Linked DNA regions of Neodiprion lecontei. The protein of the gene in region 2 binds, or shares a complex with, the protein of the main gene of each other region. Links are inferred from orthologs where the notes say so. Each region holds a gene or a part of one and is shown on either strand. Other genes may lie near its edges. The genes, in order: general transcription factor IIF subunit 2, transcription initiation factor IIE subunit beta, general transcription and DNA repair factor IIH helicase subunit XPD and DNA-directed RNA polymerase II subunit RPB3.

The links.
Region 1: transcription initiation factor IIE subunit beta (region 2) and general transcription factor IIF subunit 2 share a complex: the UniProt entries of both Homo sapiens proteins name them as parts of the TBP-based Pol II pre-initiation complex. The link is inferred for Neodiprion lecontei from reciprocal best matches to the Homo sapiens genes GTF2E2 and GTF2F2.
Region 3: transcription initiation factor IIE subunit beta (region 2) and general transcription and DNA repair factor IIH helicase subunit XPD share a complex: the UniProt entries of both Homo sapiens proteins name them as parts of the TBP-based Pol II pre-initiation complex. The link is inferred for Neodiprion lecontei from reciprocal best matches to the Homo sapiens genes GTF2E2 and ERCC2.
Region 4: transcription initiation factor IIE subunit beta (region 2) and DNA-directed RNA polymerase II subunit RPB3 share a complex: the UniProt entries of both Homo sapiens proteins name them as parts of the TBP-based Pol II pre-initiation complex. The link is inferred for Neodiprion lecontei from reciprocal best matches to the Homo sapiens genes GTF2E2 and POLR2C.

What each region holds. Positions count from the first base shown.
Region 1 is NC_060262.1:4,432,716-4,438,180, reverse strand, and holds general transcription factor IIF subunit 2, read left to right. Parts: upstream 1-1,875; 5' UTR 1,876-2,053; intron 2,054-2,099; exon of another isoform or gene 2,100-2,158; intron 2,159-2,233; 5' UTR 2,234-2,238; coding exon 2,239-2,387; intron 2,388-2,496; coding exon 2,497-2,648; intron 2,649-2,836; coding exon 2,837-2,926; intron 2,927-3,056; coding exon 3,057-3,181; intron 3,182-3,267; coding exon 3,268-3,411; intron 3,412-3,518; coding exon 3,519-3,674; 3' UTR 3,675-4,320; coding exon of another isoform or gene 4,321-4,378; 3' UTR 4,379-4,548; coding exon of another isoform or gene 4,549-4,699; 3' UTR 4,700-4,769; downstream 4,770-5,465. Other genes in the region: DNA polymerase delta subunit 3, read left to right, coding at 1-1,349; phospholipase A1 VesT1.02, read right to left, coding at 4,321-4,378, 4,549-4,699, 4,770-4,958, 5,056-5,301. UniProt on the Homo sapiens protein: TFIIF is a general transcription initiation factor that binds to RNA polymerase II and helps to recruit it to the initiation complex in collaboration with TFIIB.
Region 2 is NC_060261.1:43,445,243-43,449,190, reverse strand, and holds transcription initiation factor IIE subunit beta, read right to left. Parts: upstream 2,364-3,948; 5' UTR 2,227-2,363; coding exon 2,165-2,226; intron 2,026-2,164; coding exon 1,761-2,025; intron 1,621-1,760; coding exon 1,411-1,620; intron 1,331-1,410; coding exon 1,010-1,330; 3' UTR 534-1,009; downstream 1-533. UniProt on the Homo sapiens protein: Recruits TFIIH to the initiation complex and stimulates the RNA polymerase II C-terminal domain kinase and DNA-dependent ATPase activities of TFIIH. Both TFIIH and TFIIE are required for promoter clearance by RNA polymerase.
Region 3 is NC_060266.1:18,325,588-18,333,622, forward strand, and holds the start of general transcription and DNA repair factor IIH helicase subunit XPD, read right to left. Parts: upstream 6,014-8,035; 5' UTR 5,883-6,013; coding exon 5,875-5,882; intron 4,464-5,874; exon of another isoform or gene 4,284-4,463; coding exon of another isoform or gene 4,279-4,283; intron 4,188-4,278; coding exon 4,088-4,187; intron 3,365-4,087; coding exon 3,110-3,364; intron 3,034-3,109; coding exon 2,800-3,033; intron 2,571-2,799; coding exon 2,447-2,570; intron 2,265-2,446; coding exon 2,168-2,264; intron 2,049-2,167; coding exon 1,915-2,048; intron 1,784-1,914; coding exon 1,254-1,783; intron 1,164-1,253; coding exon 988-1,163; intron 801-987; coding exon 521-800; intron 404-520; coding exon 293-403; intron 185-292; coding exon 86-184; intron 1-85. Other genes in the region: odorant receptor 83a-like, read left to right, coding at 7,945-8,035. UniProt on the Homo sapiens protein: ATP-dependent 5'-3' DNA helicase. Component of the general transcription and DNA repair factor IIH (TFIIH) core complex, not absolutely essential for minimal transcription in vitro.
Region 4 is NC_060264.1:23,015,988-23,020,128, forward strand, and holds DNA-directed RNA polymerase II subunit RPB3, read left to right. Parts: upstream 1-1,996; 5' UTR 1,997-2,204; coding exon 2,205-2,290; intron 2,291-2,512; coding exon 2,513-2,657; intron 2,658-2,736; coding exon 2,737-2,944; intron 2,945-3,050; coding exon 3,051-3,257; intron 3,258-3,343; coding exon 3,344-3,528; 3' UTR 3,529-3,604; downstream 3,605-4,141. Other genes in the region: structural maintenance of chromosomes protein 3, read right to left, coding at 1-156, 235-394, 557-715, 933-1,111, 1,205-1,280, 1,354-1,368. UniProt on the Homo sapiens protein: Core component of RNA polymerase II (Pol II), a DNA-dependent RNA polymerase which synthesizes mRNA precursors and many functional non-coding RNAs using the four ribonucleoside triphosphates as substrates.

The DNA.
Region 1 (5,465 bases), on a different chromosome or scaffold from region 2:
AAAATCATGTAATCAGTGCGACTTTCCTGCTCATGGGATACGTCAAGGAGCGAGAGATGCGAGTCGAGGTCGTCAAAGAGGATCATATGGCATCTGCGAAGGAGAAATTTGAAAAAATAATATCCGAGCATATTTACAGCTTGCAAAAAACTCTCCCTGAGATAGAGCTACTCGCCATTACTGACAAAGGCGATTCTCAATTGAGCGCTGTCCACTCTTCTCAGTCTGTTCTCAGGTCTGATCATGAGATGGAAGTTCTTCGTTGGGGTAGCGCCTTGTTAGCGAATAAACAGATGAAAAACAATACTCAGATTACAGCTCCGAAAGTTCGGGCAAATGCGAATACCGAGTCGAAGCTTACTGATCAGGCCAAGAATGTCAAGGAGTCCGGTGCTAAATCGACCACAAATAAAACAGCAGCGGCTAATTCGAGTGCAAAAACACAGAAAACTGCCTTCAACAATTTTTTTGCTAAGGCCATAGATAAGCAAAGCAAGGAGAAGACATCTGTGAAAGGTGTGAAGAGTAAACCTGTTGCGTCAAGCAGTAGTTTGACAACTACTTCACCCCATAAGAATAACTGGTTCGAGGAGAAGAAGAAACCTATTAGTTCGGACAACAAGGAGGCAAAAGAAAATCCGGAGAATATTAGCGATTCAAAAAAGCCTAAACTTAATGAAGACAAAGAAAAATCTCCGAAAACTAATTTACCGAAAAAGAATGCATGGTTTGAAGCAAAGAAAAAGCCTCCAAGTACCAGCGACAAGGAAGCAAAAGTACAGGTGGAGAGTTGCAGCGATTCGAAAAAGGCCAACGTAGAAAAGTTTGAAGAAAAATCACCACAGACTGAAAAAGTTAGCAAACAAGAATCGGCGGTGAAAAATCTCAGCTCTGGGAAAACTGGCGATAAAAAAAAAGTAGCATCTTCTTCACGAGGAAAAAAACGCAAGACTTCTTCAAAGGGCGAGAATACTAATAAGAAACGAAAACGTATAGTTGTGATATCTAGTGACGAATCAAGTGATGACAGCGAGACTAGGGATGATATTGAGGAACCTGATAGTTCTGAAGAACCACCGCAAGTTGTTGAAAGAGTTAAAAGTTCTCCTTCGCCACCTCTGGTCAAGTGTGAAGGCGGGAGGCGCAAAGTTCGGAAATTGGTCGATAAAACGTTTGTCGATGAAGATGGGTATTTTGTCACTCAAAAAGAATACGTTTACGAAAGTTGTTCAGATAAGGAAGAGGAAATGCCGGTAGAGGCTGCAAAACCTTCTACCGCTGATGTTGCAGCAAAGACTGCTAACAAGCGGAAGCAAGTATCGCTGCTTAATTTCTTCAAGAAGTCGTAGTTAACTAATACGTGGAAAATGTAACTGTAATGATGAATTAAAATATTCGTTGAATATATGCAAGTCATAGACGTGAACTATACTGTACATTACTGAATTTCAGCGGGAAAATATGAAATTACTCGCAATAAAGATAGAATATTTTTGATTCGTATTAAGGAAAGGAATAAGGAATTAGCGATGCTTTCTTTACAATCAAATTATGGAAAGTTATAAATTTTACGTCTATTATATTTGTTTCTGTCGTAATCTTTTTTTTCCTGTTACCTGATCAAACCCCTTTTTTTTTTTCTTTCTTCTTTTTCACGAATCCAGAACGTAGAAGTTGTGCAATCACAAGAACTGTACATACCGAAGAACAAATCTGTTATTTTTGTTAATAAATGCGCATGATATGTTTAGGTAGGGGTTTACAATAATACCGCGATATTTGAATACGTGTAAAAGCCCGGCGTTGACTCTTCTGGTAAGCCGTTCTCACTGCTGCCAAATATAATAACTAAATTTCCCCAGAATTTCGTAAAAGGTAGTCCTTTCAATTTTTACAACAGACTATCAGAAGCAAGTGTTTCTGTTGTATGTACAATTTATTTTACCTCTATTTAAACAGTTATTTACAGAAGATAAGTATAACGGAGTATTACCCTTCATTTCGCCTCGTTAAATACTGAAAGTCTATAATTATTGAGGCCATTTGCAACAAGGTAAGCAGTGCCAATATTGAAATCTGGCCACTTTAATAGTCAGTTTGGTTAGGTTTGAGATAGTTAATGTTTGTATCCAATATGCAATAAGTAATTAGGTTAAAGGTGACAGAAACTAGCGTTCGACCCATAATTGCCAGGATGAATGCGAGAATGGAAACTGAAATATTTTATTTTCAGGTATCATGTCTGCACCGCCTCCTCACACAGACCGAGAATTAGATTTGAGTAATGCAGGACGAGGAGTATGGTTGGTTAAGGTTCCTAAATATATTGCGAACAAGTGGGAAAAGGCTTCCGGAGATATAGAAGTTGGCAAGCTGAAAATCACAAAGTTTGTTAAAAATGTTAAATTAACCGAAGATCGTTTACGATTGTAGAAATGACAATCATTCCATCGCTCCACACCCTCCCCTTGATCATGAGGGTTGTTTTATCCGCAGAAATCCAGGGGCCAAAGCAGAAGTTTCTCTAAGACTTTCGGAAGCTGTTTTAGCTCTGAAGGAACGAGAGGAAGAGGAAATTCCAAAGGCACACCGGCTGGATGTAACTACTGTCACTCGTCAAATGCTGGGTGTATTTTCTCATGTCACACGTGAGTGTGAACAATTTTTGTGGCTGTATGCTTTTCTTTCAAAATCACTAAAACCATTAGCTAGTCTATTATTACTTTGATCCTAGAATTGCTCAAAGTACGAATTAATAAATTAGGACAATGCAGCATGCATTCTCTGGCTTGAATCTATGCATCTACTAAATTGTCTATTCCAATGATTTTTACAGCTGCTAGCACTTCGGATGCTATTGTTCCAGAGACTGAAAAACTTTACATGGAGGGTAGAATAGTGCAGAAACTTGAATGCCGCCCTTACGGTAAGTATGGGTGATTCAGAATCGTTGAACCTTGACTTTAGTGGCAAATTTTCAGAAAAGTTCAATAGATTGAAATATTCTTCCAATCTTCGACTGCGTTGTTAATTTAAATTCGAAATTACATTTTTAGCTGACAACTGCTACATGAAGCTTAAGTTGGAAAGCATAAAACGAGCATCGGTGCCTCAGAGGCAAGTTCAACAATTGGATAGGGTTGTACAGAATTTCAAACCTGTATCTGATCACAAACACAACGTAAGTTATGAATGTAATTGTTGAAGAATTTTACCGTGTTTTCTGTTTGTCTTTATTTGGAGATTTTATCTGCATTATTTTTACAGATCGAATATGCCGAAAAGAAGAAGGCTGAAGGCAAGAAGATGAGAGATGACAAAGACGCGGTATTAGAGATGCTATTTGCAGCATTTGAGAAACATCAGTACTACAATATTCGAGACCTTGCCAAAATCACCAGGCAGCCTATCGTAAGTTATGCCACAATCTTATAAAATTTTTTTGCAGACATATACGATTTTTCTGAGAATTGGGGAATTACACTTTTGCAATGATTCATGAAAAAATTGATTTACAGGTTTACTTGAAAGAAATTTTGAATGAAGTGTGCAATTACAACTTGAAGAACCCGCACAGAAATATGTGGGAATTGAAACCTGAGTATCGTCATTACAAGGATGATCAGAAGCCAGCGGCAACTGCCACAAAAGTTGATGACTCAGACGATGATTAGTACTTTGTTTTATATACTTTTTTAGAATGTTTGGACGATTTGCTGCCTGTGATTTGCTAGTTCAGATCTTGATTTACTGAGTTCACTGATTACAATCGATCAACTCATAGATCGATGCAATTTCTTAAATGGAAATTTATTTGATTCGTAAAGGCGTTCCAGGAATAGCTTCGGTGAATTTAAGCAGAGTTTGTGAGATAGTAAAGTGATAAATCGCGTCCCCATGGAATAATTCTTCTATATCGACGCCAGGCAAAGAGAGAAAATAAAAGACTTTCTCTTGTCATAGGATCCAAATAATAGGGAAATTTGCGGAAATCCGCATTGGATGATTTGTAAATAGTGATATATTGTATTTATTTTTACATCAATCGTTTAGATGCGAAGAGAGAAGTTGAAGAAGCAAAGACTTTATCTCAGATGTAGATTTGTTCATATTGTTACTCGACATAAGTTTCATACGGAAATATTAAAGAGAATCTACAAATATAATGGTGCGTAGGAGTAAAAAATATATCAAAGCATAATGAAACGGTAATGCACTTTAAAAAAAATTACATTACAGTATATTTAAACATATATATATAAGATACAATTACACCAGCCATCATGCTCTGATTTATAGAAATCAAATCAAGGCTTCTGCTCATCCCAAAGCATAGGGAGACTGTCTGGCTGTCTCAAGAGTAAAGCTGCCTCTGGCACTGCAAAAATAATGTTAATCGCTCATTAGTTCCGAAGCTGTAATGGCAAAGCTCCAAAGTTTTTTTCTCTTTATTGTAACTGGTTTGATACTAATAATTCTCGGTGGACATACACAAGTATCTCCGCAGCTGTTTTCTGTACTAAACAAAGTTTTTCTACTCGTACTTACAATTTGTTAAAAACTCTACCACCCATGTACACTTCGTTGTGTCGGTCAAGTGCTTCCAGGTACATTGAACGTGTTCCTGTGGCACGGAAACCGGTCGGGTTCCTGATAGATTCTGCGAAGAAGTAATAGGCGCGGGAATGGGCGCAGCTCCCTGTAAAGGATAATGTGTTAGAGTGCTGCGATATGCGCAATGACAAACTCTCAACTTGTGCGAAACTTACCGACAAGGTCCAGTCCGCATCCAGGCTGACTGCTACCGCCGTTGGGGTAAAAATCGGTATCACCAATGGCATCCATGATGCCGAGAAGTCCTCCATTTGTGTGGATTATCTGAACATGGTCAGCGTCAGTTTGGTGAATTCGGGATCCAGCTCCAGCAGAGTTAAAAAGAGGAAGCGCTGGGTCGAGACCTGTGAAAATATTCGTGCAATGATGAAAAACGATTCCTTGTGTAAAGAAGACCGGATTTTCGAACGAGTTAAAGAATCTCATCTGCCTTTTACTCACCTATGACAGCGTCGATTGTGCCCTCAGCGTTGCGGGCAGCAATTCCAGACACGTGAGCACCTAGAGAGTGTCCAACGAGTTTCGTCGATGCTACGTTGAGGCCGGCGTTGGCGCTGAGGAAGTTGATCATCAGACTAACTCTGGCGGCAACACCTCTGACGCTTGATGAAGCACTCACGTAAAGAGCACCAGCAATGGAACTCCAATCGATCACAATCACGTTGTAGTCGCCTTCAGCTAGGTAGGCTGAGGATAAAAACGAGGAGATATGAACACAAATATGAACACAGGACTCAACGATGTGAAGTCAAATTACGTCTTAGAAAAAACAATTTTCCTGTAATTCTTACAACCGGTGTGAACTTAGCATCCCCATCATCTCTATGTCAAAAACATGCTACAATTCTATT
Region 2 (3,948 bases):
TTTCTGAAAAATTTTTCAACAGCAACTCTAGTTTTACAATTAGAGATATTGTAACGAATGATTTACGACGGGATACCCTGTATGTCCGTGGAGCTGAAACGCTTTCGTCGTTATATTTCAACTATTACAATTTATATTAATGCTGTAAAATAATCTGGTTGAAGGTTGTATAATTTGTGTAAATCGTAAGTTAAATTATTATACCCTAAGGTGCTGAAGACTTGACTTAGTGCCTTTAAGATCGATATAATTACCGTCGTTAATTTTACTATCATTCGTATTGTACTCAAATACTACGCTTTTGGAGTATTTTAATTGCCACTACCAAATAAGATCTTGCGGAAACTTGAATCCCGATGATCCAGCGCGCTAAGACAACAATCCGAACCCATGTAATTGGATCAAGCATTGAATAACGTGGATATCAGGAGAAAATTGTTTAACAAGCGTTAGAACAGATTAATCTTTGAATACACTTTGAACAGTTCTAATATATCAATGCAAATCACGAATCATGCTTTTTCCATTTCGCACAACTTGGCCGTGAGAAATAGAAAGCAAATTGCAAAGTTGCGCGAAAATCCTCGAAATCTCATGTCTGAAATGCACTTTCTATGGAATTCCATGGTGGCGGAAAAAGTATCAACGATCGTCGTTTGATACTTTGTTATTTTTTAAACTTTGTGCTACAATATACTTCGGTTCAATCATCATACCTATGTAGTCGCGAATACAACTAGGTAGACTTCCGATGTAACTAAATATTGCAAGACGAGAGGCTTATTGGTCTTTAATATATTCATTCAGAGAGAGGAAAGAAATGGCAATTGAAATATAGATGAAGCGGACTAGTTATTGTTCAAAATATTATAGATATATATTTATTTTGTACTTACAAGCTAGTTTAGACGATAACAATAATAAATCACATTGTTTATTTATTCTTATACAAACGATATTTACAATCCTTGATTAAGCCATCTATCTATAAAGTCTTTAAATTTCGGCTTCATTTATTGTCGTCGTAGGTTTCCAAAACATCTGCCAAATGCTCGTTGTCTCGTGGTTTTTTGAACTGCTTCTTCCTTGCGTTTGGTTTTTTCCTTTTAATGGGTGCAGGCTTCTTTGGTCCGTGATCCTGCATCGACCTAATTCCCTGTTTCTCAAGGTATTCATCGATCTTCTGATCGTCCATTGCGTCGACTGCAACAGCCCTCCACAATTTTTGAAATTCATCGTCGACTATAAATTGGGCCGTTTTGTCGTTGTAGAACACTATCTTTTTCTTATCCAAAGGTCTTGTTATGAAGAGTATTTCGTTCTGGAGACTCTGCGCATCAGTAAGATAAAAAATAACACGATTTGCACCAAAATAATAGCTCATTAATATCCTGAGGGAGAACGATTTACCTTCAGAGCTTTGTCGCAATGCGGCAAACTCTCCTGAATGTCTTCAAGCAGGATGCCTCCGAGTCCCTTAAGATCCTGCTGCTTCAAGAGTCTGAGTAACGATTTCTTGTCTTTTATTTTGTACATCGCTTTGAAGGAGAATCTTCCATCTGGAGAGACTTCGATCTTTGGATTGTTAATCAACGACTCTGTCAGCAGCCATTGTTTTACCTGCACGAATAAAGAATGGTAAATAGAATTACTGGTAGTATAGTTGAATTTTAATGCAAGCTCTGGCTTTAGCACGATTTATCTTTTGATTGAAATAATCGCAAGTATTTTTAAGCAGTTCTACAAAATGTTTGGATCACCTTAGATCCGACGTCGAGCTGATTTGTCTCGTCTAAAATCTCGTCGAGGGTGAGAGGATGGTCATCGCCCTCCTGATGCCGCGACTTCATGTGCTTAACTATTTTTGCCAAGACTCCGAATCTGTACTGCGAACTGCCAGACATGGTCTTGTAGTTGACCATGTCCAACTTCGGCGCGGCAGAGGAGGATAATGGCTTGCTCTTTTTTTTTGGCGGCTCATCACGGATCGGTTCCTTCTCGGGTTCTCTCTTTTTTTTCTCTACACTGAAAGTGTTAAGAGGCGGTTATTTCTTAAACTAAGCACTTCAGAGCCTTCCAATATTTTTCAATTCTTCGCAATGCGGTTAATTCACAGTTTCTCACTAATTTACAGGTTAGAAACGCGCAGCGTTGTTTTACTCACGTTGGTGTGGTGAGGGCTCGCTTTTTGAAGAGCTCTCGCTCCCTTAACAGCGCTGGATCCATTTCGTAATTCTTAAAACTTCTACCGTACGAGTTTATCACGGATATAAATGAATTTAACAAGTCTGCCTTTTAGATAGTTTACACTTTGCAGTTTACACCCTCAAAACAGTTGACAGGTGCGTTTCTAACGTTTTTCGCCTACCAGCGCCCTCTGATACGAAGAAGTTCGTGAACTAATTTTCGTTGGTAAGCGAATGTCGATATCGAAAGTAGTCGATAATGTAGAGTGCATTTATCACGGGGAATGCTGGTGGGTGGTTGAGAACTAACAGACGATAAACATTAGCGAACTTAGATTAATTGTCAGTATACATATTGACTGTGTTATATTATGGTGATCAGTGATTCGAAAGGGGAATTCATCTCTGTCCGCACGTACCATTCGCGGATTACCTTCGTGATACTTCATCTCTTGGATGTACTGTTATCTCTGCAGCGTAAGAAATGCGCCTGTGCCTGCTGGCGACGGCAACTGTCTAAGCACGGTTCCGACACGACGGCGACTTGATTCGGCAGCTTCACGCCGTGTCGGCGGGAAAATTGGCTCATGAAAATAGATACCGACGCAACGGTTGATTGCCGCGCGTTGAAACCCACGTGATTAGGTCAATGGATCTCAATTACATTTTCATTCGAAGAGTTAAAAAATCTAGGATTGTTAATTGAAAGTGTGAAAAAATGGAGAATATCAAATCTCTCGTTGAATTATGTCGAGAAAATGCGAAGAGGACACAGGGGTATTGTTTATTTATTGATTGTAATACAGGTTCCATGCAATAGTAATAATACAATATCATACATATCGTATCCTGCAGATGTATGTATGTACATACATTGCACCTGTGTGTAGGACAGAACTTGAACCGTACTCACAAACTACAAAAATAACTATCTCATACAACGTTTTTCGTATTTTGCTTGAAGTGATGTATATTTTACTTCTTTTTCCTCCTAGTCTCTTTGTCTTTCACTTTAATATTACTTGGCAGCTTGTTGAACACAGACTGTCTACATGTCTATAGATGAATACACTGACACCTGAACACTTGTACGAGAACTAAGACACATTGGATAAACTGGAACTGGAACTTTGTAGCTGTGAGTTTGTGATTTTGCTTTTACATCTCTTTGAAAACCCGGTACAAAATTCATGTTCTTTAGCCGTAAGTTTTTATGCGTAGCTGGCAGCGTGTCTAGACTGCGCAATGGATTCGTCTGGGAAAGTTAAGTCGAGATGGTGCACTGAAAAAGTAATTCAACTATTTTACAAAGTCAGACAAACTCCCACTGAAAAAATCCAAAGAGGTTAGTCCTACTTTTTGAACCAAAAAATCTTTTGTCTCAAATTGATTTGTTTGATGCCTTCTAGATTAATCGGACCCCCAAAAATGCAGAAAATATGACATCAAAAACAGCGTTGGACTAGCAGCAGAGAAATTTATAAAAAGACTTTCGGTTTTTTGACTCTACGACGAGAAAATTGCTACATGCTCAATACATAACGCAATCACCGGTAGTTGCGTATAGCTTCGTGTTTCTTATATCATATTTGTTGAAAATCGCTGTAAGTTTTCAATCGATATTTGGCAGTAATAATCACCAGTTAGGCAATACATAAGGTGGCCCTATACTGAAATAGTCGGTGGCAGTTTTCCGACTATTTTCATTGCAAGCAGCGGGTGGAAGTTAATACGAATATCGTTAATTAATTCGGAAAATTCC
Region 3 (8,035 bases), on a different chromosome or scaffold from region 2:
ATTATAATACGAAGATAACATCTTCAGGATTACATTTCATATCTATAGTATTTTCAGGAGATTATAATTGATGTCATTTCAGAACCTGTATTGCTTCTTCTGTTGATAAATTGCAAAGACTGTCTGTAAGGTGTTCTTGAATCCATTTGGGCAATTTGCTTCTTTTGTCCGCTCTTGAAAAACGCTGAAAAGTTTGTAAACCAAATCATTTTCAGTAACAACGTAGAAGCTATCATTTATCGACAGGAACTCCAATCTGTGATGAATTATAAAAAACTTTAAGGTACAGTACCTTGTCCGCGAACACCATGATACCATAGTCAGTTTTGCCTCTTATGGCTCGGCCAACGCACTGCGCGGCATGCCGCATTGCATCAAACGTTAAGAAATCATTTTCTCTTATCTGAAATTTAAAGAAAAATTGCACATTTTATGTCTTGATAGATTAGAAAAAACCTGACTGAAAATTTAATCCAAGGTATGTCATAACTTTTAAAATGACAAAACTTCTGATACTAACTTGAAATTGATCTCGTAGATATTCTAGTCTGGCTTTCAAGATCCGGGACTGAGTGTAAACATAAGGTATACCGAACATAAGAACAGCTCTTCCTAAATGGTGGTCAAAATCAACCCCCTCTGACACTTTGCCTCGAGCTACGGATAATAGAACAGCTCCACGTCCATTTTCGCATGCTTTTATGTAGTTCATCAAGGCCAAACTTGTTTCTGCAGAGTCTTGTGTCTCGATGAAGAGTAATTTGTGCCTCTGAAGTTGGTCTACTACTCCTTGATCATACCTAAAAAAAACATAACGATATTTTTTAATGATTGAATCATGTTTAGTCGAAATCCGGTCAGTTTTGTAATTAATTTATTTGGTTAAAAAACCACATGTTTCCGACGTTTCGGCCGGGCCGAAATATTTTTTAATCATAAATTCACACATGTGTTCAATTATTATGCTAGATTCTCTTCACTACCTACCATGCAGCAACTACAGATTCCATGTATGAATAAGAGGTGAAAAAACAGACTAAACCGTCTGGTACAGCTGCTGAGAATTCTACCAATAATTGTCCATAATTTCTTATCACGGCGACATCTTCTCTAGTTTCAAATTTAGATGATATCGCTACCTGGTCATTACCTTTGGCAACGATCTGAAAATTAATTGAACGATTGAACGGTCATCGTGAATGAAGTACTGCATTGTTTTTTTAACTGTAAAATATGCAAAGACGAAATCTCACCATTGGTAACAAACAAGGTCTTGCAAGAGTCATGGTAAACGACGACATGATTACAGGATGAAAATCTAAGATCTTTGGATACATGTCTAAGGGCGAAAGTGTTCCCGAGGTGATAATGACTGACTGAAATCTGTCAAATATTGGTTTCATAGCAATAGAACAATCGAGACAGCTAAAATGTAGAATTGGGTTTAGAACCGTTGGTGTTTTATCATCGAATGGTTCGACTATGATAGTGAAACCTTTTGTGTACGTGGAAACAAGAGTGGCAAGGTGCGTGACCAAAATCAGAGGCGAAAAATCTGTAACATCACTAATTTCCATCGTTCGTAAAAGCGATGCCAATCTCTCCGCGCAAAACTTCAGGGGTTTTCTTTCTATGCAAACTTTAGACTGGATGTCGCGTAGAAATCCAGCTGGCGATTCCTGCATTACATGCTGCACTCGAAGCCTTGTTTTTAGGTATTCTACAAACCGCTTCAAGAATCCAACAAAGTGTTCGGCATTTCTTATGTTGCCAGGAACAACCTCTGGAAAAAAGATACATGCATTTTTTAATCAGCGCTATATCTCACCGTAAGTAAAGCAAAGAAAATATAACCATTTCACAACATTTTCATTGATTTATCGGATGAAAGTTACTCATGTAAGTTAGACTTACCTTGAAGTACTTCATCTGGCAAAATTGGGTTGGACAAAATAATGTCAGTTTCTCTTGCCGTTTGCGCACCTTTGAGGCCTTCAACTAATCTACTGTATTCCTCTTTTAATTTATTCACGTCGTCTTCTCTCATCCTGAAAATCATAAATGAACGAATAACAAAGAGCAATGTCGGTTTTTATGAACTAGAAAATTTGTGTGAAACTTGGAACTTAATATCTATATAAACTAATTGTGATTTGGTTTAACTTACTCAGCCACAGTTTTCTCCAAAATTTGTATATTTGCCGTGCTTTTTTCAACTATTCTTTTGTTTATTTTGACGCTCATTGAGTCTATGCATACGTTGTCTGAAAATAATGTCGAAAATCTTCTGTTAAGTACAATGGATGTGGCCACACTTTTGGCTCCCCAATATCATTAACAATACGATGTAGTTTGTATATCCATTTGTTTCATGTGTTCAATTTATGCCCATGTATGCTGTATGCACGTATGTTCTTAAAAGTTTGATTAAATAGAAAATTATTACCGATGTTGTGTGCCTCGTCAAAAACTACAACAGATGTTTTACTCAATTCTTTAGATACAGTTTCAGCAATTTTTGGATCGAGAAGATAGTGGTAACTGTATACAACGATGTGAGCTTGCAGTATCTGAAAGATAAAAGAAAAGTTTTCAAATCTGTAACTGGACCACATGATTCAAACAGTTCCAGTCCTATGTAAAACAAAATATACATTGTTCAAGTCAAGAAATAAGAAGAGAGAAGTGGTGACAATAATATGACAACAAAAATTTTGTTTTCAAAAGAACGAGTAAAGAAACAGGTTTATAAATTAATAAATTAATTGATCAATGAACTTAAATAATTAACAGACCAACCGTAAATCTAGCCAAAAAATATGGACACCAATTCCTGTCTCTTCCATACTCTTTCAGGTCATCCAGGGAATAAATTCCAGCAGGCACAATCTGTTCACGTCCCTCTAAATCGAATCCCTCATAAAAGCTGCAAACTGGCGTTGATTCATCGTAATTATGCCTTTCTCTTATATACGAGGCAGTGAGGGAATGACATCGACCGTCAACAATTTTTCCTTCACGTTCCCTGCTTATCTGAAAAATATAATCATCTTATCAATCAGCTGATTCTTTGTTATTAGAAAATGAATGAATAATATACTCAACGAACTTCTGGATGTATGCACATGTTTTTCCTAGAGCTCAGCACCAATCCAACAAGTTTTGGCTTTACTCCATCCTCTTTTTCATAGTATTCTATAAGATTTTTTAATTCTTCTATGACTTTCTCTATCTCCGGTACTGTACGTGAGCAGTATATTAATTTAGTTATCTTCAAGGGGTTTTGCAGCATGTAAGCCACAATCAGTGACAGTAATGTCACAGTTTTTCCAGTACCCGAAGGCATTTCCAAGAGGCAATGACCCTGTAGAATATATATTCATTATATTAGAGACGCCTTAACTGATTTGATAATTTTTAATAATTTACTTTCCTATGCTTGTTGATACGTGTAATTATTTTTCAAATGATGGTATTAAAAATTATTAATCATTGAATTCTTTGAGGAGGATTAGCCTATTTCATGAAAGTAGCACTGAAAGACCAACAAAGTTTCTGTTAATTAATGTGTCTCAACTACAAAGAATTATTCTTAAACCTTCATGAAATTGACAAAGCTTGATTGCGAGTTATTAAACACAAAGGAATAAATTTATAGCTTGTTGTATGGCATTTAAAAAAAGCTCTTCCTGCATGAGAGCATGAGCAATATTTAGAAGTTTCCTCACTTAAAAACAAGCATTCTACTGTTTTTCCAAATAATTACAATGATTTTATTATTCATATGCATGGAAAGTAAGACATTGAAAACTTTTTAACTTAAAGAATGTTTACTCATCAGTTGGAGGAATCAATCTCTTGGCAAATCATTGAATCAGTTTTCCTTCAAAGTGTTTAAATTACATGAATAAACATATTTTGAAGGATCAAATCTTCGCAAGCTTCAGAGAAATAATAAAATAATGTATATTTATATCGTAAGATAAATTGTGAAGTTTGGAAACGCAGTTTGGAGGTTAAGAAGGCGAATTTGTAAGCTGCTTATTAATATGGGGTGTGATATCTCGTTATTAAAGGCAAGATTTACCCTAGCATCGAGACCTCGCTTGAGTTCCAACATGTACGCATACTGTTCCGGGTAAATGTAATCGTAGGGGAAGTACACAATCAATCCGTCGACACTGATTCTGTAAGAAGAAGATGCCAAGTTTATTTCATAATACGGAATACTTTCTCGTTGCTTATTGTTTGATAACGAAATTACACCCAGATAATTACTTCATTTTTGTTGTTTACGAATTTCTTTCTGCCACATTTATAACAAATCTACTTCACTGGTTCTTATTGTTTATAGCCTCCAAAGTTCACGTTTACGATGCTTACATGCGTCAGGTTGCCGACCGCTCGTGCGAATCCAGGGTATCAGGATTAGATTAGGTTAGTTTTTTTTCTGAATGTGACAGTTAAGTTAGGTGAGGTATTAAGGTGAACTTTCATGAGTAGCAAAAACCAGCAGCAGTTTAGTAACTTACTAGATGTTACTAACATCTGTCTAGGGTGTATTCCGCAAGGAAACTGTGGCAGTCCAGTAATAGTATATTTTGAATTTTCTAACTAGCGGTTGGTACTATTTACTGGTCATTTACTGCCAAAGTGTGCCACAGTTCCCTGGCGGAATACACCCCTAGTAATTTAACGTCGCAGCTGCACTGCTTATAAAGGCCGTGTTCGTAAATTGACTGACAGTACTGAAAATTCCCTAGGACAGAGTCAGAGCTATCCATGAACTTGGAAGCGCAAAAGAGATGAAAGATTGCTGACAGTACTGTCAGTCAATTTTCGAACACGGCCAAAAACATCTTGCGTTTGCTGCTCTGCTGGTCGGATGAATGAACTTCAATTTCTAACATTAGCGTATGTATGTACATACATAGCCACTTATATGGGTATTACCATACGTGATATGGCGAATCTCTGGAAGCTAGTCTGCACCAAAGAATCTTGACTACATGAAATTAGATTAGTGCATCAAATTGATTTCTATAGAGAAGTTTAGTCGAAATCGTATCGAAAAATTACATGCAAAGACTGTATTACAAATGCAGATGACAACATCACTACTATAACTGTTGCTTCAGTAAAATAGTATGATTGTGTGATATTTGAAAACCTTAGATAGAATTTTTGAAATACTGAGAACACTGTTGAAAATGAAGATGGAATGGGTACCCATGTTTTGTAAAAATTATTGGTAACAAAAACATTTGCAGAACTTCAGATTCGTACATTGGAAAATACTTTCGAATATTTAACTAGTTATTTCTAACCCGCGTTTGTGATATTTTGCTAGATGTGACAGACTTTGAAATTGAATTGTAATACGATACGTTTCGTTTCGCGTTCGTTGTATTTCGAAATTGTGCATTATACGTTGATGTAAATGTCAGCTTCCGCTAGGTTAAAATGCCCGTAGAATGGACAGAGGCGCGAGTTTACAAACTAGTTTTATCGTACATTCGGCACGAATGCCTGTGGAAACACGATAGTGATTCGTATAATGATTTGGAGGCACGGTACACCGCATACCTGGGGATAATTCGAGACCTGAACATTCGCGATCTGACCGTGAACGAGGTTCGCGACAGAATAAAGCAAATAAAGCGAATCTATCGCATGGAATTGGTAAAGATCAACGATGCTAACTTCCGGGGATTCCCCTACAAGCCAAAAATCACTTGGTTTGAATTGATCCACGAATTTTTACGCGCTTATATCACAGAACAGGATTCTAACGCCGTTAGTTTATTACCAGGATTAAAGTTCAATTACTGAAAAAAATTATTCCTATGTATATAACTATTCTGATCAAATTACCTTCGCATGTCTAGGATAGCTCGCTACATGTTGAGGCGAATAATGGTGAGCCAGAAGAATTCAACCATCACACCTCCCAGTCGTTGTTATATTCGCAACGTTGCTGTCCAATAAACCAGTGTCCCAGCTGTGTTAGACATTTTCCAACTCAACTCAATCTCGACATATCCCCAACAAAGTTGACGAAAAATGCTGTACCTTTAAAACAGAAAATTAATCTTGCCTCGCAACATGACTTTATCAGGCAGCAAACACCTAGAGCTTTGCAATCCATTCCGAATATCAGTTCATTTTCAACCTCTGGCGATTGTTCAATAATCAGAGCTTCGAACGCAGAAGTAAAGTCACAAGTCATAACCAATTCGATCAAGAAACACAAGTCGCAAAAAAAGTATGGCGATGAATTTGATGCTTTTGGTAAGAAAATCTTATAATTTGAAATGTTTAAAAGACTCTCTTGCAAAATACTAACGTTTTTTTGTACATTCTCCATGGGCTAATTGTCATATTTATACTTGCTAGGCAAAAGTGTCGCATGCCAATTGCGCGAACTGTCATTGCCACATGCGCTTCGAACTCAAACAAACATTCAGAGTCTGCTTGCTGAGGAGAGGATAAATTCTAACAAGGAGAAAGTGATTAATAACCAAAGTGCAGAGGAAGTCTCTCAACATCACAGGCACTACAGGGATTCTCGGTGGACGCAACCTTCGAGGAATAGTCGTTCGTCATTCATCTGCAATGCAAATTTCCAATGTCCATCAGCTAGTGATTTGAGCTCTTCTGGTCACCTGAGTAATGGAAGACGCACGAAACTTGTTGAAAGAAATCAGATAGTGAATTGTCATCCGGATAATTGTATTGCCTCTAAAATTTCATATAAAAAAGCTAGTCTAAAAACTTAGTAGGAATTTAACATCTGTAGCACAATTATAAATTTCTTACATAAGCATTCACATCGTCAAAACAAGGCAAAGTGACGCGTTTAAAGTCTACGAAAAGTTTCTATTCCAAGGAAATCTGGAGTTAGTGTGTTAAAATGTTTGATGATTCATTCACGTTTGCTAAACATATTTTTTATAGTATGGTTACTTCTAATTTTGGTGTTCCTAAGTACATGTTTTTCATCTTAGTAGCAGTCTGATAAAAAATAATTTTGTATGTAATGTATTTTTTACATGAAGTTATGGATATCTTTTTGTAAAACGATTATGTCAATATACATCAATTTCTTTTATAACATAATAATAATAATCACGTTCAGTCCCGCCATATGTGTGTATGTACTCATAATCGGACAGCTTATACAGGGTGAGACAGGCATCGGTTAGTGACCATTATTATGTGTCTGCTGTCATTTTAAGATGTTTATTAGAAACATCCGCATTCACACAGAGGATAAGGAAAACTGTGAAAAACCTTCCCCAAGTGTGGCCATGCCGAGTTCAAATCTCAGCTTGTCAATTCAGCACCTGTTCGACATGATTCATCTGACCCATCATTTGAACTCAAGACCTCCCATTCTGTAGTTTCGCATACTATGTGCAATGCTCCGACGTTTGATTTTACTCTATTGAGAAAATCAATTTTTCCTCAATTGAATAAAACAATTTTTACTGTAAAAGTATTAGATTGGTAAAGGAGATAATTGTTTCCATCTCTGCCTAGTGGGAATCCCAACTTCATATCACCGAGCTGTTACGGAAATAATAGTTCTTTCACTTGTAAGATAGTCATGAATACGCAGGTGACATGAAATAACAGGTATAAAAGCTTTAGAATTCAACTACATCCTCTATAATTCAGGATGACCGAAGGCCAGTAATAATAGGTCTTTCCTCCTGACTTGCAACAACAGCAATTTTCTCAGTCAACCCTCACACTGTATGATTTCGTCTTGCATTTTTCATCCAGCCATCACCTGGCATGTCCAGAAGACGCAATCTGAGAAACAGTTCAAGCTGTCTCAAATATATTGGAAGTTTTGAGAAAACTCATGGTCAGTTCTCCGTTTTCCATTTCGAACTCTTTCCATTCTCCTCAGTCAATTCGTTAATTTCATTAAGAATTATGATCAAGCTTGAAACTTCTCTGTGGTACATAAGTATTTTTTTAAGAGGATTGTCGTTTTGGCCGCTATCCTCGGAAGCTTCAGTTGTCA
Region 4 (4,141 bases), on a different chromosome or scaffold from region 2:
TGTTAGCGCGTGACTCTTCCAAGTCTTCCAGCTTTTTCTTACTTTCCTTCAGCTCGCGTTCGTGGATTGTGTACTCCAGACACCGCCGCTGTTTGTCCCAGCGTTGGTACTCCTTCAGCTCCTCCTTTTCCTCCTCCAATGTCTTCAAACGCTCCTCTGTAAGGTTACAAGTGTGTGAAATCATGAGATTGTACCACCTTTGGGGAATGTATAACTACAATCGAATCATCTCACCTATGGTTCGCAAAAAGTCTTCTATTTTCTCAAGCTTTCCTTCAGTCTCTTTAAGGATCGCCTTTGACTCCTCGCGTCTATCGTCGTAGACTCGAGTGCCGGCCACTTCTCTGAGCAATTTCAACCGCTGCGAGTCTGGGGCCGTTGCCATTTGGTTGATCTGATGAAAGTCAAGGAAACAATCGATTTCAGAGAATGAAATTATATTAGTCATTCCTATAAAATTCTGAATACACAATAATATCGAATGTAGTTAGTATCATTCGGATTATTTGACATTTAGCAAAATACAAAATATACAAAACTTATTATTGGCGCATACCTTTCCCTGCTTGACGATGTAATATGGATTGGACCTGGAAAATCCAGCCGATTCGAGCAAATTCATGACGTCGCTTCGCGTCACTATTTTCTTGTTCAGAAAGTACTGATCTTTTTTCGACCCGATCATTCGCCTGAGATAAACCTCATCCTTGTCGATCTGTAAAGACAGTGAAGCCAAAAATTAAACAGATATTTCTGCAAAACAACTTCGTATCTGGATGATAAATTAACCAGAGAATAAAAAACAACCAACTGCCAACGTAATGATCGTTATCTTGTTTCAATATAAATTTTAGAAAACTGTGCAGCCTTGTGTGCTCCAAGGTATAAGCCAGGAAGCGTTAACCTTGCTGATGTGGTGTAATAAAACCCACCGGAAGACGTCCATCCGAGTTGTCAAAGATAATTTCGACATAAGCAGAGATGACGCGTGGACCCGTGCCTTCGTGGAGAAGGGCTTGACGCTGCTCAGGCCGAAGGTGGGAGAATTCGTCGCTAAGCACAAACTGGATAGCGTAGAAAAAGTTGCTCTTGCCCGATCCATTCCTGCCGACTTGAACAAGTAAAAATGTATAAAAGGGCTGATAGAATCATGAAATCTGAAAGACAAAACTAAAGGTACGGAAAGAAGAATATCTCTACTCACCGACCACATTGTGCCTCGGATCGAAGGGCACTACAACGGTCTGTTCTCGATAGGATTTGAAACCTTGTATGATAACCTAGAAGAAAATGCAACGTTATCATTCAGGATGATTTTCGAAATGACTGCAGTGAGATTTGAGGGCGGCTTACCTGTTTGATGTACATGTTAGTCTGCGAGCTGGACGATCGTTGGGTCCGGTTAGCTCACACAGTGTATTCAGAGTGACGTTTGATACCCATCACAACGACGGATCGACGCCACACGAAAACGGCGCGTCCGGGCGTTATTCTACCGGCTTATTTTTACTGAGGGTTTTTTACGCTTCGGGGTATTAATCGGGCTCCCAAAAATCGTGTTTAGAGCGTACTTTTAACACAGAGAAATAACAAACACGGTGCGTGGACACACTCAGGTTTGCCAACTGTTAACCATTTCGGCGGGAGCGCTGAAAACTGCGTCGCCTCCGATAATGCACGAAGGTTCCCGAACGATACCAAACCATAGGCTTAAAGTAGCTGCGCGCTCTATGCACCACTCAGGCATTGAAATCGTGCAGTCTATCACTGATGAAGCACCGCAACCCCCTGACACACGCTGCTAAATGTGGTTCGCAAAATGTCCTTCGATTCTGCCGCTAATTTCCACCACTAGTGGCGCTAGTAGTGACCTAAGGAGCTTGCGCGCGGTCAGCAAGGGCAGCGAGCGTGTCAGAAGTCTACTAGCGCCACGTAAAGGAACTAAAAAACGGGGACAAGACGCGTACAGATTTTTAGTATACGAGCAGTGGTGAGTGTCAGGGGCATGATGCACCGTATCTTGGTGGCCATCTTGCGTTAACCTATGGGATTTTTTGGAGCTAACGGATTATTTCGGCACACATTCTACTTCAAGTGACCATTGAACATTGAATAACCGTGCACAAATGACAAGTTTGAGTTTATTGCGAAAACAGTGGAGTGTTTTTGCATTTTTGCATTAATTGAGAATAAAATAATACAGAATGCCGTACGCTAATCAGCCTTCGGTTCATATAACCGATCTCACAGAAGAGAACGTTAAATTTCAGGTAGAAGACACCGAACTAAGGTAAAAAAACAAAATCCTAACCTAACTCGACGTGTTTTAATCAAAACGATCTTCTTATAAACTCGCTGTATTTTTCAAATTTTTCGGAAAAATTTATGATGTAGCTGTAAAAATTTGCCTTAAAAAATTTTATTCGCCATTTTTGCCACCTGCTTTTTCAGTCGCTTGACAAAACAGACTAGCGTTCAATCTCATTATAACCTCGTATGTTCTGTGGTGCAGCGTAGCCAACAGCATGAGGCGAGTGTTTATTGCCGAAACTCCGACAATGGCCATAGACTGGATACAGCTTGAAGCGAATTCAACAGTTTTAAGTGACGAGTTTCTTGCACATAGGATTGGAATGATACCGTTGATCAGTGACGACGTGAGATCGATTTATTTTTGAAACCATTTCTTGCTAAGAAAGAACAATAGTTCTACTGCCTGTTCATTTGTTTTCGTAGGTGGTTGACAGAATTTTATACACAAGGGACTGTCAGTGTATGGATTTCTGCCCTGACTGCAGTGTCGAATTCACACTGGATGTCAAGTGCGCAGAGGATCAAACTAGACATGTGACAACAGCCGATCTGAAATCCAGTGACCCCAGAGTGCTGCCAGTTACTTCGAGACACAGAGAAGACGATGCAAGCGAATATGGAGAGACAGATGGTTGGTTTACAGTTTTCATGACCACTCTGTTTAGTTTGTAGCATTAATAAGTTGCTTTGATATCATAAATTATTCCTACACAATGTTTTGATCCTTTCGTTTGTAGAAATACTCATCGTCAAACTGCGAAAAGGCCAGGAACTAAAGCTGAGAGCTTATGCAAAAAAGGGATTTGGAAAAGAACACGCCAAGTGGAACCCCACTGCTGGTGTCAGCTTTGAATATGATCCAGACAATGCGATGCGTCATACATTGTTTCCCAAGCCCGATGAGTGGCCAAAGTCGGAATATACTGAGCTCGATGAAGATCAGTGTAAGAGTAATTAAATGAAGAAAATTTTAACTTACTTCAAACAATTTGTGCATCTACACGCAGTTCTTATTTTTTTGTATGTACAGATGAAGCGCCGTTCAACTGGGAAGCGAAGCCTAACAAGTATTATTTCAATGTCGAAAGCAGTGGTGCTCTGAAGCCCGAAAATATTGTCATGATGGGTATAGTTGCCCTGAAAAACAAATTGTCTAATCTGCAGACACAGCTGAGCCACGAAGTACAAAATGACGCACTTAGCATTCATCACTAAATATCTGTAATAATTTATCCCCACAAGCACTCAAACTATCGATTTAATAAAAATAATAATAACAATAAAAATCATAGTAACTGTTGTTCTATTTTTTCTTTTATAGTTCAGAATTTATACCGAAACAATAATACCGTAGCGTATATGAGATGGCGTTTCATCCTCTATGGATGTGAAATACTGTTTACTTATCTTGGTACAATTTAGCGATGGCCACTAAGGCAAAAATGATTAAGTCCAAAATATAATCTAACGCATCTCGATTGAATCAGTAAAAATTAATCGATTATGTCGTATTTTCTGAAACGGTGCATTTGAAATCAAAATTCGTAAAGTTTGGTACGTAGTCTTGAAAGCGAAAAAGTTTTTTTGATAATTCATCGTTTTATTTCAAACATTTAAAAATTATTGAAAAATTTATAAAGTAGAAGAGATATAAAAAAAATTTTGATATAAAACCTGAAGTCGTCTCATCTTTAAAAAATAGCTGTTTAATGTAACAAGCTTCCTTGTCTGGGTTCAAAGCAAACATTCTCTCGTTGTTCACATGAATTAAGTATCTATCTGTATCCAACCATTTTGAACTTGAAAACCTTGAGCGTTTGCTGGCTCA